2 linked regions of the Pelodiscus sinensis genome follow. The protein of the gene in region 1 interacts with the protein of each later gene in a pairwise test. Links are inferred from orthologs where the notes say so. Each region holds a gene or a part of one and is shown on either strand. Other genes may lie near its edges.

Evidence for each region. The genes of interacting proteins can lie anywhere in the genome.
Region 2: the proteins of PBX3 (region 1) and PKNOX1 interact in a two-hybrid assay, tested with the Homo sapiens proteins (2 studies listed by BioGRID and IntAct). The link is inferred for Pelodiscus sinensis from reciprocal best matches to the Homo sapiens genes PBX3 and PKNOX1.

What each region holds. Positions count from the first base shown.
Region 1 is NC_134732.1:25,327,624-25,335,266, forward strand, and holds the start of PBX3 (pre-B-cell leukemia transcription factor 3), read left to right. Parts: upstream 1-4,575; 5' UTR 4,576-5,564; coding exon 5,565-5,761; intron 5,762-6,849; coding exon 6,850-6,923; intron 6,924-7,643. UniProt on the Homo sapiens protein: Transcriptional activator that binds the sequence 5'-ATCAATCAA-3'.
Region 2 is NC_134711.1:190,864,935-190,872,804, reverse strand, and holds the start of PKNOX1 (homeobox protein PKNOX1), read right to left. Parts: upstream 3,088-7,870; 5' UTR 2,954-3,087; intron 1-2,953. UniProt on the Homo sapiens protein: Activates transcription in the presence of PBX1A and HOXA1.

The DNA.
Region 1 (7,643 bases):
CCGAGCCCCAAGGGTGTGGGGGGGGAGCTGGGCGCCCCATGACCCAAGCCCCAAGGGTGTGGGGGTGGAAGCTGGGTGCCCCATGACCCGAGTCCCAAGGGTGTGGGGGGGGGAGCTGGGCGCCCCATGACCCAAGCCCCAAGGGTGTGGGGGTGGGAGCTGGGAGCCCCATGACCCAAGCCCCAAGGGTGGGGGGGGGAGCTGGGCGCCCCAAGACCCGAGCCCCAAGGATGGAGGCTAGTGGGAGCGTGGCACCCCACGGGCCGAGGTCGGGGGGGGGGGAGGGGGGAACCGGACGGCCCGAGGACGGGGGGGAGGGGGGAGAACCGGGCGCCCCACGGCCCGAGGACGGGGGAAGGGGGGAACCGGGCGCCCCACGGCCCGAGGACGGGGGGGAGGGGGGGAACCGGGCTCCCCACGGCCCGAGAACGGGGGGGAGGGGGGAACCGGGCGCCCCACGGCCCGAGGACGGGGGGGGAGGGGGGGAACCGGGCGCCCCACGGCCCGAGAACGGGGGGGAGGGGGGGAACCGGGCGCCCCACGGCCCGAGAACGGGGGGGAGGGGGGAACCGGGCGCCCCACGGCCCGAGGACGGGGGGGAGGGGGAGAACCGGGCGCCCCACGGCCCGAGGACGGGGGGGAGGGGGGAACCGGGCGCCCCACGGCCCGAGGACGGGGGGAGGGGGGGAACCGGGCGCCCCACGGCCCGAGAACGGGGGGGAGGGGGGGAACCGGGCGCCCCACGGCCCGAGGACGGGGGGGAGGGGGGGAACCGGGCGCCCCACGGCCCGAGGACGGGGGGAGGGGGGGAACCGGGCGCCCCACGGCCCGAGAACGGGGGGGAGGGGGGGAACCGGGCGCCCCACGGCCCGAGGACGGGGGGGAGGGGGGGAACCGGGCGCCCCACGGCCCGAGGACGGGGGGGGAGGGGGGGAACCGGGCGCCCCACGGCCCGAGAACGGGGGGGAGGGGGGGCCCGGGCGCCCCACGGCCCGAGGACGGGGGGGAGGGGGGGCCCGGGCGCCCCACGGCCCGAGGACGGGGGGGAGGGGGGGCCCGGGCGCCCCACGGCCCGAGGACGGGGCACTGGTACGGGCTGCCCGATCCAGTGAGGAGCGAGCCCTCGCCAGGTACTTCACTGTCGCCATGGTAACAGAAGGGGCGGGGCAACAGGGTCCTCGCCCCCTGCCACGTGTCGGTTCGAACACTCCAATCCCAAGTTTGCCGTGAAGGGGCAGCGCTGGAGCGCACAGCGCGTTGGGCCCCGCCCCGCCCCGCCCCGCCCGCTCTGATTGGCGGGTGGGATGGCAGGGCTGCTATCATTGGGCGGAGAAAGCGCGCGTGCTGGAGAGATCCCGCCCCCGAAGGCTCCAAGCTGTCGGGCCTAGCTGCGCGGCTGGGTGACCCCCGGAAGGAGCTGGAGTCCTGCCAAGATGCCTCGACAGAGGCCACGCCCCAAAGGGCGTGGCCTAATAAGGGCGTGGCCTGAGGCCAGGGCAGGGGCGGGGCGTTTGGAAAGGGGCGTGGTGAGGACCGGGTGGGATTTACCTGGGGGTGGGCGGGGCCATGAGGAGAGTGGGCGGGAGGTGAGAGGAGGGGATCCCAGGGGGAGGGGTGGGCAGTTCTGAAGAGGAGGTCAGTGGAAGAGGGCTGTGAAGGTGAGAGGAGGGGGTCAGTGGGGGGCGTGGGGGGGCGGGTGAGAGGAGGGGGTCAGTGGGGGGCGTGGGGGGGCGGGTGAGAGGAGGGGGTCAGTGGGGGGTGTGGGGGCAGGTGAGAGGAGGGGGTCAGTGGGGGGAGTGGGGGCAGGTGAGAGGAGGGGGTCAGTGGGGGGCGTGGGGGGGCGGGTGAGAGGAGGGGGTCAGTGGGGGGCGTGGGGGGGCGGGTGAGAGGAGGGGGTCAGTGGGGGGTGTGGGGGCAGGTGAGAGGAGGGGGTCAGTGCGGGGTGTGGGGGGCGGGTGAGAGGAGGGGGTCAGTGCGGGGTGTGGGGGGCGGGTGAGAGGAGGGGGTCAGTGGGGGGTGTGGGGGGGCGGGTGAGAGGAGGGGGTCAGTGGGGGGTGTGGGGGCAGGTGAGAGGAGGGGGTCAGTGCGGGGTGTGGGGGGCGGGTGAGAGGAGGGGGTCAGTGGGGGGAGTGGGGGCAGGTGAGAGGAGGGGGTCAGTGGAGGGAGTGGGGGCAGGTGAGAGGAGGGGGTCAGTGGAGGTGTGGGGGGCAGGTGAGAGGAGGGGGTCAGTGGAGGTGTGGGGGGCAGGTGAGAGGAGGGGGTCAGTAGGGGTTGTGGGGGTAGGTGAGAAGTGATGGTTGGTGGGGGAAGGGTAGGCAGGTCTGAGGGAGGTGTGGAGGCAGGCGAGTGGAGGGGGTCAGTGCGGGGTGTGGGGGGCGGGTGAGAGGAGGGGGTCAGTGCGGGGTGTGGGGGGCAGGTGAGAGGAGGGGGTCAGTGGAGGGAGTGGGGGCAGGTGAGAGGAGGGGGTCAGTGGGGGGTGTGGGGGGCGGGTGAGAGGAGGGGGTCAGTGGAGGGAGTGGGGGCAGGTGAGAGGAGGGGGTCAGTGCGGGGTGTGGGGGGTGGGTGAGAGGAGGGGGTCAGTGGGGGGAGTGGGGGCAGGTGAGAGGAGGGGGTCAGTGGGGGGTGTGGGGGGCAGGTGAGAGGAGGGGGTCAGTGGAGGTTGTGGGGGGCGGGTGAGAGGAGGGGGTCAGTGGAGGGAGTGGGGGCAGGTGACAGGAGGGGGTCAGAGGAGTGGGGGGGGCAGGTGACAGGAGGGGGTCAGTGGAGGTGTGGGGGGCAGGTGAGAGGAGGGGATCAGTGGAGGTGTGGGGGGCAGGTGAGAGGAGGGGGTCAGTGGGGTGTGTGGGGGGCGGGTGAGAGGAGGGGTTCAGTGGGGGTTATGGGGTCAGGTGAGAGGAGGGAGTCAGAGGGGGGAGTGGTGGGCAGGTGACAGGAGGGGATCAGTGGGGGGGTGGGAGTAGGTGAGAGGTGATGGTTGGTGGGGGGAAGGGTAGGCAGATCTGAGGAGGGGTCAGTGAAGGAATGGTGGGCAGGTGACAGGATGGAGTCAGCGGGGGGATGGGGTGTGGAGGCAGGTGCCAGGAGGGGATCAGTGGGGGGAGTGGAGGGCAGGTGAGAGGAGGGGGTCAGTGGGGGATGTAGGGGCAGGGGACAGGAGAGATTAGAGGGGGGTATGGTGGGGTGACAGGAGGAGGTCAGTGGGGGGAGTGGAGGGCAGTAAGAGGATGGGGTCAGTAGGGGGTGTGGAGGCAGGTGAGAGGAGGGGGTCAGTGTGGGATATGGGGGCAGGTGACAGGACGGGGTCAGTGTGGGATATGGGGGCAGGTGACAGGAGGGGGTCAGTAGGGGTTGTGGGGGTAGGTGAGAAGTGATGGTTGGTGGGGGAAGGGTAGGCAGGTCTGAGGGAGGTGTGGAGGCAGGCGAGTGGAGGGGGTGAGTGCGGGATGTGGGGCAGATGACAGGAGGGAGTCAGTGGAGGTGTGAGGGCAGGTGAGAGGAGGGGTTCAGTGGGGGTTATGGGGGCAGGTGAGAGGAGGGAGTCAGAGGGGGGAGTGCTGGGCAGGTGACAGGAGGGAATTAGTAGGGGGTGGGAGTAGGTGGGAGGTGATGGTTGGTGGGGGGAAGGGTAGGCAGGTCTGAGGGAGGTGTGGGGGCAGGCGAGTGGAGGAGGTCAGTGGGGGGTGTGGGGCAGATGACAGGAGGGAGTCAGTGGAGGTGTGGGGGCAGTTGAGAAGAGGGGTTCAGTTGGGGTGTTAGGCAGGTGACAGGAGGGGATCAGAGGGGGGAGTGGTGGGCAGGTGAGAGGAGGGGGTCAATGGGGGTGTGGGGCAGGTGAGAGGAGGGGGTCAGGGGGGGCGTGAGGCAGGTGAGAGGAGGAGGTCAGGGGGGGTGTGGGGCAGGGGAGAGGGGATCAGTGGGGGGGCAGGTGAGAGGAGGGGGTCGGGGGGGTGTGGGGCAGGGGAGAGGGGATCAGTGGGGGGGCAGGTGAGAGGAGGGGGTCAGTGGGGGTGTGGGGCAGGAGAGAGGGGGTCAGTGGGGGGCAGGGGAGAGGAGGGGGTCAGGGGGGCGTGGGGCAGGTGAGAGGAGGGGGTCAGTGGGAGTGTGGGGCAGGGGAGAGGGGGGTCAGTGGGGGGCAGGGGAGAGGAGAGGGTCAGGGGGCGTGGGGCAAGTGAGAGGAGGGGGTCAGGGGGGTGTGGGGCAGGGGAGAGGGAGTCAGTGGGGGGCAGGGGAGAGGAGGGGGTCAGTGGGGGCGTGGGGTAGGTGAGAGGAGGGGGTCAGGGGGGTGTGGGGCAGGGGAGAGGGGGTCAGTGGGGGGGTAGGTGAGAGGAGGGGGTCAGGGGGGTGTGGGGCAGGGGAGAGGAGGGGCTTGGTGGGGGGAAGGGTAGGCAGGTCTGGGCAGGGGTCAGTGGGGGAGGGGTGTGCAGGTGACAGGCGGGGCAGAGGGGCGGGGCGGGGGCGGGGCTCCGGCTGGGCGCCCGGGTCTCTCCCAGGAGCAGCAGGGGGAGCGCCTCAGCCGAGCTCCCCGCGCGCGCTTGCTCGCGCTCTCCGAAGGGGAGGGGGAAGGGGAGGGCAGGGGGCGTGGCTCCGCCTGGCTCCCACGTCCCCTCGCTCGCGCTCTCTCTCTGCCTCTCTCCTCCTTCACAGGGTGACACGTCTGCAGGGTGAGTGAGTGGCATTGGCAGACTGTCAATCCCTCACCAAAGCGGCCATCAAACAACATAAAACACACACAGTCACTGGGCTGCTGGGCTCATAAATTCCAGCTGGCTGATATTTTTGCACATTGCTTTGCAGAGAGTGTGTAATTAATTTTTTTACAGTTCTTTCCCCTTTATTTCCGCTCTTTTCTTTGCACAAGTTCAAACTTTTGATAGCTGCAATTTTACCCCCATTGTACAGACTTGGGATCATTTGTTATTATTTTTTGGGGGAGGGCAATTAATTTTTTTCATCTGTGTTTGTGTTTTCTTGGGCTTTTTTTAATGTTGCAATTTGGGGATGGGGGTGTTTGCTTGGTTTGTTGTGGTTTTTGCTGTTTGCCACCCTCCTAACTTTTTAAGGATTTGAAAGCAAGTTTTTGTGTGTGTGTTTTTTTTAATTTTGCCTTTTTTTGCGAAGAAGATTATTTTTTGGACAAGTGGAGGAAAGACATAAAAAGCAACAATAAAAATAAAAAAGAAGAGAGGGGGGAAAAAGCTTTGGAGGAAGATTGTACCGAGGGGAGAAAACTGCAAAAAACCTTATCAACTCATTATCCGAGCCAGAAATATCATTGTTATGATGAAAGAAGATTGTAACTAAAGAAGAGAGTGATTTACTGCATTGGAAAGAAGAGCGTGGAATAAACAACTGAGATCCGGTGAAATACTAAATACTGATTTTTTTTGTTAATTTGCGAGAGTAAAATAACAGCAAGCAGGAACTGAAATTGACTACGGGAACCACAGATTTATTCGCATTTTATTTTCTAAGCACAAACCTCCTTCCTCTGATTGTGAGGCTCTTTTTGCCGTTTCTCCTGCTGCTATCTCTGAAAGTGCATTGATTGGGCTGCGGTAGGAGGTATGGATGATCAGTCCAGGATGTTGCAGACTCTGGCCGGTGTGAACCTGGCTGGCCACTCGGTGCAGGGGGGGATGGCTCTGCCTCCTCCCCATGGACATGAAGGGGCAGACGGCGACGGCAGAAAGCAGGACATCGGAGACATCCTCCATCAGATCATGACCATCACTGACCAAAGCCTGGATGAGGCACAAGCAAAGTTGGTTTCGTCTAATTAAACCTTGTCTTTTTGTGTGTGTGGTTTTTGTTTCTCTCCCTCCTGCTTCTCTGCAGAGACCAGGAGTCTCACAATTAGAACAACTTCTTAATACAGTAGGAGAAATTTCAAGCAGCAAAGGCAAAAATCAAAGTTGCTGTTAATTATTTGTAAAATATAAATATGTGATGCTTGTACCATTTTTTTCTGTTCCATTTTATTTGCACCTATGCGTGGAATGCATGTAGTCCCATTTTCATTTCCATCTCTATAGACACTATCTGGTTGACACTCATTTAAAAATCGCCATCCCGCAATATTTGCTCTTCGGGAGACTTTTGATTTCTTGTTCAGAAGTGTAACTTTTTTTCTTTCCTTCTCTCCTGCCCCTGAAGTGGTGGCAGATGAATTACAAAGCTGACAAGATATTGCTTCAGGGAGAAATCCCTCCGTGTTTGAAATCACAGTAAATACAAAACAAAGAATGTGAACTCTGGAAGTTACCCTTTTAGCAAATCCGCTCTAATGTAGAGGAATGGAAAGCAGTCGAGATCGCTGTATACATCAAAGCCTGGTCTATCAGGGAAATTACATACAGCGAATTTGACTTAAACAGGTGGAAAAAAAACCCCTTGTAACATGGCTTTAAAACCAAACTTCTGCGAGCGTCTCAAGTCTGCAAAGTGGTAGGCAGGCGGGGGCTCCCTGGATTCTGACTTGTCACCACAAGTCCCTGCTTTGGTGACAAATGAGAGAAGGCATTTGAAACACCCTTTTATTTGCTCCTCTTGTCCCTGAATTTAAATCTCCTCACATTGCTTCTTAATGTTTGCTACTTTGCACACAGTATGATTAGGTTGTCTGGTCGCCTATAGGGCAAATATGTGCTTCCCCTCCTCCCCCTCACAGCCAAAAAGCTGTAGCCAAAGATTCCTTGTCACTTGTCATTAACTTTACTTCCTATTACTTTGCATGGAATAGCTGAACAGTACAATGCAGGGGCACAACTAAATCATTTTATTGTGGAAAGGCGCCATATTATCAAATAGCTTCTGCTAATGCATTTGTTGTTTTCCCACCCTCTTTTCCAGAAAGCATGCACTGAACTGCCACAGAATGAAGCCTGCTCTATTCAGTGTCCTGTGCGAAATCAAAGAGAAAACAGGTAAGAGGCCAGGAGGAGCAGGGTTTTCAATTGCACCCCACACAGGTCAGCATTGCAATACTTCTCAATTCTGCAAGCCTGGGAGCTGATGTGGGCACCGCAGCCATCTTTGATCCTTGCTTCCTTGCCTGCTTCTGATCTTGGGGAGGGGAGGGGGGAGAATGCAATAAATCTGGAGCAAATTTTACAATTCATAATCCCGATGTAAAATGAAATGTAGATGAAAATGATCGTGTGTCACCGTCCGCAGAGTAAATTCCCCCTCTGGCTGCAATCAGGGAAGCAACACGGAGCAAACCAGGCTGTCTCCCCCTCTCTCTGCCTTGTTTGTATGTCAGTTTCTTAAAGGAGCAATGTGAGATTGGAGAAGCCAATTGCAGCGTAGGAACCGCACAGCCGGCAACTTTGTTTGACTCGGGTCACCTCATTGTTTATCTGTGCAATTAGCAGAATATATGTTATTGGACGCATTCAGTTGACAGATCCAAACTAGTACACTATATGTGGGAAATTAACTGTAGGCTTAAGAAATGCTCAAAGAGGGGTGTGTATAATATGTGTATAAATATGTCCACACATGTTCAGATACATACGGATATACCTTGTATAGAATACGTTTATCTTATGTACATTTACGTTCAGAGGGTCATTTATGTACATTAATATTTCTGTAGATATTGCTATTCATATCTATATATCTATAGACAAAAATGATGGCAA
Region 2 (7,870 bases), on another chromosome or scaffold:
AATATGCTGTATAAAACTTGGTTCTTGCACAATAGTTTGTTTTTCCCCCAAAAGAGAAAAACACACAGCAACTAAAACTAGCAAAAGACACCCTGTTTGTTAGAATCTGATTTAACATGTGTTTCTAATGTACCCCACACTTTTTATTGATTTAAATGGGAGTATGCAAGGTCAGAACTTTATTTTTAAATATGGTATTTTTAACACAGATCACCTTAAAGGAGTACCTAAACATCTACAACTATATTTGACACGGAAAGTAAAAATCAAAAATTTAAGCTTTTTACTACAAAGAAAATGCATGTAAGCCAACAATTTAATGCAAAGTTGGACTTTCCAAAGTGTGGGTCATGATTTCCATTGTAACACTACACAGAGCTCTTAATCTTCCATAAAGCATACAGCAAATGGTAACTAGATACTTTTCTAGTCCAGCAGAGCACTTAAAGCAAGTGAGTTATAAATAAGTAAATATCTGTTTCTCAGATGAAAGGAGACAGGTATAATTAATCCCATGTTACAAATAGAGAAATAGGTGAATTAACTTCCCGAAAGTCACACAGTGATCCCCAGGAAGAGAACTGCAGGTTTCCTGACTTCTACTCCAGTATTAGAGCATCTATGCCACACTGCCAGTAAAGTCAATGAAACTATTTGCATGTTTAAAGTATGGTCTTAAGAGATTTAAAAAATTAAGTCTTAAATTAAGAACTTGGAATGATATTTATATTTTGATGCTGACATTTGTGCCCTTTATTATAAATCAAGGCAGGTTAATATCTAAAATTGAAGATATTCATAGTAATAGACTAAAGATAAAGAAGCACCAATGTTAGCTATAGTAAAAAGAAAATAAACTCAGAAGACACACTATTCTATTTCACTAAAAAATGTGATTATCTGTCTCATTTCTCAGATATTTTCAATAATTTAAGACCATTCATTATAACTTTTTGTACTCACTAATTTATACACTTTCAAGTTTTCTGCAATTTTTGGCAGCAGTATTAGGAAAATGTCAAAAATATAATTTTATTATCTGCTACCCTGGAGATTGTGGGTTTGGATCAAGAAATTTCTGATGCTCCAACAGTCATTAGTTTTCTGTCCTGCAATATAACCTGAGATTAAAGTATGCTACATGCACAATTAACATTTTTTAAATACATTTTAAACCTCGTCTGTACACAAGTTGTATCACTTTGACTATCCACGTACACAACACTGCATGTGGACCCAGTTAAGCTATGCCAGTGTACTATTCAATAGAACTATTCTCATATAGGTATTATTTCCAAACTTTTTATTTTTATATATATATATATATATATATATATATATATATATATATATATATATATATATAGGTAGAACTGCGGGTCTATTGTTAGAACTCCTTCACATTAAAACACAAAACAAACCTTAATAATACCAGAATACCAGTTTGGTTTTGTACAGACCCAACCTTGAAAATGAAAGCATAACAAACTGTAGACTGAGTGAGCTATAACTAGAGATCAGTGTACAAGAGGGGTTTTTTTTTTTTTAAATAAATGGGATATTTTAAATTAGATCATCCTTTTACAAAAGTGAAACTGGACTTCCAAAAACAAAGATACCCTGTAAAAATGCTAATTGAGAGACTATTTCAAACAGGGTACCTTTATTATTACCGTGTATATGTAGTAAAATAGTGGCCAAACACCCCCTTCATGTTTTGGGGCTGAATTGTCAGAGGCTGTGCAAATATGTAGGAAGCCATGCTCCATGTCTCAAATTACTTATAATATAAACAGAAAGAAGCTGCCACAAAAATAACATAAGGCAGAATGGGAAGGAGAGAAAGTGTAGGCCTAATAAAACCAACCACTACCTAACTTAGCTATAAGCACAACTTGTAATTTCAGAGCCATTTCAAATACAGCATTCCCAGCCACTATTTAAGATAACCATCATTAACTGGCAGAGTTCTTGTGGGTGTCAAGGCAAAAGAGGAATTCAAGATGGGATTTGTGAACTATGCAGTTGGCGTCTTTGTTGATTTACATGGGCGCCTAATGACTCATTTCTGTCCATCTGTATATCGCTCAAGTGTTGAGAGTGTAAGCTCCTTGGGGCAGGCACCATGTCCGCTTTTCTATCCCGCCCAGCGAGAGGCAAGCTCGTTGCTGATGGCGGCTTGCGCTACAGAGCAAGACAAACCCCACGATCCTGCGCGCGGGGAGGGGGAGGGGGCTCTTTGGCCTGACCCTCCGTAACGCAACTTCGGCCAGGGGCCGAGCAAGCGGCAAACGTTGCGGCATTAGAGCGCGCGGCAGGCGGCGCCCGATGCAGCCCGCTACGGGGTGTCGGTCGCTGCGGGGCGGTTGGCTCGGCAGGGAGGCGGCTCCCGAGGCGCCGGGGGAGCTCCCCTCCCGGGCCGGGGCACGCGGCGAGCAGAGGCAGGCAGCTGCTGTCTTAGCTCAGCCAGACACGGCTGCGGGCCAGGCTGGGCCACAGCGACCGCACCCGCCTCCCAGCCCGGGGGGAGGGGGACACAGAGCAGCGCCCCCGCCAGCCTTGGCCCGACTCTATCGGAATCTTCGCCAAGGCCCTTTAAATACTCCCCCCCCCCGCCCGAACAGCTGCTACCCGTCCCCCTCCCGTCGCGCCGCCTCCCTCTCGGCGCGCGCCGCCTCCCGCCCGCTCCCACAAAGGCAACGGTTAGTCGGCGGCTGTTCCAGAAATTTCCTCGCTCCCCCCTCCCTTCCCCGCGCCTGCCCGCCGCCGCCCCTATCCACCCCCCCGGGTTGGGTATAGCGCGGGTGCCTCCCTCCCCGCTGCTCCGTGTGGCGGGCTCTCGCTCCCCCCGCCATCCCCGGTCTGCCTGTGTGTCTGGGCCCGGCCGGCCGGCGGCGGCGGGCGCGCCGTGATGGATGGCTGGCTGGGAGCGGGTTTGAGTGACAGCGCTTACCTGGGTGCCAATCTTCGTCACACTGACAAGCGGCTGCAGCAATCGGGACCCGCACCGCCGCGACACGCGTCACTACGCACACACGCACCCGGCCAATCACCGCCCGCGCCACACAATACGACAGCACGCTGCGCAGCACGCCTCATGAATATTCACAAAAGAGGCGGGGCGCGCGCCGGCGCAGGACACTCCCGCCCTGACGCTCGCCCTAAGGGGGCGGTGCGGTGCGTCGCATCTTGATGAATATTCATAAGGGGCGGGGCGGACGCGTTGTTTGTCACGCCCCTTTGCCCGCCTTTCTGTTTGGTCGGGGTGAGAGGAAGAGGGAGGTGAAACCAACTCCCAAGGGCAGCGGGGGAACGAAGATACCAACTAGGGGCGAGGGGGAGGGGACAGAGCCTGGCTGTCCCTTATAGTTCTGCCCTGAGCTGCGGAGGGAGACCTGGCACATGCGCCACCTGCTCTGCTGCCCGGCTGCCAGGGGGCCCCTCCCTCCAGCCCCTGGCAGCTACGGTGTTCCCAGGCCACCGTGTGTGTGGCTTTGTCACCCCCTGCGTCCCAGTCGCTGCCTTGAGCCCACCATGCGAAGCCCCGTGGTGCTCGCCCCACCCCGACTAGCCAGGGATGCAAATAAAGGCAGAGGCAAAGAGGCACAAGCAGGGCATGTCTAAGCAGTGGGTGTTACACAACCCCCCTGCAGGCAGGCCGGGGGAAAGTCCCTGCCAGCTGAGCTAGTGACATTGGCATCAGGTAAATGAGTGTCTATGCAATACACAGGCCTGACCCATAGTCCTTCAGTGCAATCCACTTCTCCCCACCTGTCAAAGTTTTGTTTTGTCCTAACCTGCTACCAATGGCCCCAAGTTGGTCTAGGTTGAATATTAGAAAAAACTATTTCACTAGGAGGGTGGTGAAGTACTGGAATGGGTTCCCTAGGGAGGTGGTGGAATCTCTACCCCTAGACGTTTGTAAGTCTCGACTTGGCAAAGCCCTGAGTTGGTTGATTTAGTTGGGATTGGTCATGGCTTGGGCAGGGGATGGACTTTCTAACCTCCTGAGGTTTTAGCTCTATGATTCTAAGGCCATCCCCACAGAGGTGCTCCCCATGGCTCTGCCCAGGCCCTGCCCCGACCACCCCACCCACAACTGTTTTTTGTCCATGTAGGAAGTATTTAAATTACATCTCCACAGCTGCAGCACCTTTGCTGTCCTAATGTGGCATAGATAATGCCCCAAGTGAACTCCCTGTCTTGACGCTTCTCTATAGCAGTGGTCTCCAAACTTTTTTGATCGCGCAATCCTATCAGTAAAAAAAATTTTGAGCATACATCCCCAATATATGTATATTTATTTATAATTTTTTTAAAAATGTACTCTTTGACCCCCCATTAGCCACACACCTGACCCCTGTTAACCATGCCTCTGGCTCCCATTAGAAGGCCTCAGGAGGTCTGAGGGACACATGACCAGAAGTAAAAGGTGTCATGTGACCCCTCTCTAAGGACTTTTCCCACCATCCTCCTACCAATAGGGATTACTTTGGCTCCCACCAAACTCCCCTCATGCAAGTATCCTCGGAGGTGGAGGGGGCAGAGAGGCTGGGGGAAGTGTCCCCTCAGAGTTTCCTTCCATGAACAGAATGAATTTTGTGTTGTGCACCAGTACTGAGTTCATGTGGCTTGTTTGGATGTGCCACTGTGGCATCCAAGTTATTAATACATATCATATAAACCTCTACCTTTTCCCTCTGCTGTCATGTCTCCTCCCCTTGCTCCATCAGCTCCCCTAATGCCCCCTCACCCTACTCTACTGTCCTGACTCCTGCCCTTCTCGCTACCCTCAGCCCTCCTGTGACCTGCCCCCCCTCCACCAGCCCTTCTCTCTGCCCTGTGCCCCACTCTGATCAAGTGAGCTACCTCCCTCTACACACCTGCCCTGCCTCTCTCTGGTGCTGGCCTTGTCCCTCCCCTGCAAGTGTCTGCCCTTCTGCTTCACCCCTAGAATCCCCTGGCACCTGCACCCTCCTGGTGCATCCCTCTTCCCTCACTGCCCCTGCCCCCTTTGCCTTCTTTTTCCGTGATGCCCATCCCCTCACCACCCTCTGCCCGTTCGCCTCATGCCCCTGTGCCCTCACACATGCCTTGCTCCATCCCCACCTTCCTCATGCCCACCCCTTCTTTCAAGCCTTCTCCCAGCACCTCCCTCTCCCCCCTCTAGCTCCCAATGCCCTTACCCTCCCCCCTCCCACTGACACCTCCCCTCCTGCCCTCTTTTTCATTGTCTCCACTTGGCCCCCTGGAAATTGTCTCTCCTCCACGCTGTCCCTTGGTGCATTCCCCTTTCTTCTCCTGACCTGCCCCCCTCCCCTCAGCACAAGCCCCTTCGTCTCCCACCCCTTTTCCCTATTTTTCCCCACACCCCCACCTTCTGCTTTTCAGTTTGAGTCTGATCGGGCCAAGCCCCAGCTGCTTCCGTGGCCCCAGACCACGTGCCGGGCCTGGAGCTGGGCCGTGCAGTTTTAAAGTCCCGGGCTGTGATATCACGACACGCCCAGGCGTGTCCCCTCAGCTGTTGCACGGGCGTTTGAACACACCATGCATGCGCTCCCTCAGATGTCTTGCAAACCAGGCGTCTCCCCTCTCAGCTGTTGCGCGGTGGCATGCGCTCCCTCGGATTGTCTCGCACACCCCCTGGGGTGCGTGCATCCCATTTTGGAGACCACTGCTCTATAGATTCAGATCCATGTGAAGTTAGAGGCTCTGAATGTGAAAGAATTAACAAACCTGGCAGAAACAGTAAGGAAGAATTAGTATTGGTAGCCCCAACTGTTCAAATATCATGAGTCAGGTAACCACACTAATAATATTGTCTAAAATGATAAGTTTTTATTAAGTAGTAGTAATACATTTTTATTTCTTTTGTTTGCCTTCTTACCTTTGAGCCTTTAGGATTCATGTCAAGCTTTACTCTGTAATCACTGGTGGCCTAGAAACTTGCTCTTTTTAAATGAAAGCTGACTCCACAAGATAAAGCTTTTAAAAAACCACCAAAATACCAAGAGCTTTGCATTAAAATTGCAAGGAGTGACAACAGTTAGAAGGAACAGAGGAGAAAACAAGGAAAAATAATAGAAAAATGTAGAAAATTAATTAGAGGAAAGATACACTTTTTTCGAGTGTCACCCCTAGCTGCCAAGCCTTCATGCTCCTCCTTCCCAGCACTACAAAGGATCCAGGACAGGGAGAATTATACAGAGGAGACCCACAATGAGGGGGCTCGGTGGACTGCTTTTGCACCCTGTATAGTTTCATAACTATGTGAGCACACAGTATAAACCAATGGTGAGATCTGATATGCAAGACTCCTCTTTTGACTTACAAAACATGCAAAGTGAATACAAACCTTTTTTGAATAAAATAGCTGTCAGTCCAGGGCAACAGCACCTGTACTCCCCGTCCTTGGCACCAGGCTCCACAGCTGTCAATTCTCTTGGGTGAAAACTGCATTCTCTCTCCCATCTGACTCTGACATTTCCAGGCTGAACAATTGCCTACCTCCACTGTGTTAATACCCCAAAAGATAGACTGCCTAAGTAGGCATGCATCTCTGCTCAGAGACAGCAACAGTATAGTTACTCACAATTAGAAGTTACCACACAGTTCTAAGTGAGCACATTTATTTATTTTTAGACTAAAAGCACTACAGACAGTCTATTAAGAACAATAAAAGAACCTACACTTATGCTAGTAAACTTACCAGAAATTGCTCCAACCCCAGCAGGCTGGCCTGTGACTGGTGATTAGTCCTTCAAACCCTACCAGTTGGTAACAGCTTTCTCTCAGATCTAGCTTGTATATCTAATAGGGCCTCAGTGGGCCAAAGACTTTCCAACCCTTTCCTAAAAATTAGGGCCCTGTGATAGGGCATCTGCCCTGCACTGGCCCTTAAAGGGCAAAACCCAGCCCTAAGCCAGGGCTGAGAGTGAAGCCCTAGCTGAGGTAGTTATTGCTAATTAGAGCTATAAAGAAGGGATCCTGGAAGGAGAAAGGAGGACTTACTTATGTTAACTCTGGCTAGAGTGACCTGGCTGCCTGGGAAGCAGGAGGCTTCCTGGAGATATACCAGTGCTGGGGAAAGAAGGCAGAGCAGGGGAAGCTCTGGTGTGGCAAGCTCCTAGGCTGCAGGGCCTGAGGCTAGACCGGAGTGCAGGAAGGCTGCAGAGAGCCAGCTAAGGTAGGCAAAGGCAGCAGGTCCCTGGAGTGCAGAGATTGATAACCACCCCGCTGCTCCCCAGAAGGGAGTTGAGAGCCAATGGACTGGGTATGTCTGGAGGGCATTGTCCTGAAGAAGACACTGCAGTCCAAGACTGTTGCGGGTTGGGCCTGGAGAGTGAAGCGATGACACGGGGAGGCAGACAAAAGCTAATCCCCAGTGCCACAGCAGTGAGGCCACGCTGTAACAGGCTCCACTTGAAACAGAAGTTCTATCTGTTTGCTGGATCAGAGTGAATAACCCAAGTCACTTTAGCTCAGGCTATGTAACCAAAAATCCTTTTTCTCTGTGTGTTGGAAAGTTCCAGAGAATTCAGTTTGAATCAGTATATGCAAGTCTCTTTCCAGGCAGGAGCAGCTCTCTAGAGTTTTTACAAGCTGAATTAATAATGCCTGCCCTCTTTCTCTCTCACCCCCACTGTGCTTAGTTCCTGGAATACTGTGGTCCCCATGCGTCCCTACAGAAATATATACAATCTCTTAATAGTGAATACATTTTTGCATTTTTAATCCAATGAACTGTTAACATACCTAAACTTAATTCAATAAAGTTTGCCCAAGATATTGCAGGATATTGTCACAGCTGCCATAGTGTTTAATGCTTGCAATTACAATTTGCAGAAAGCTTAACATTACTGGCAATACT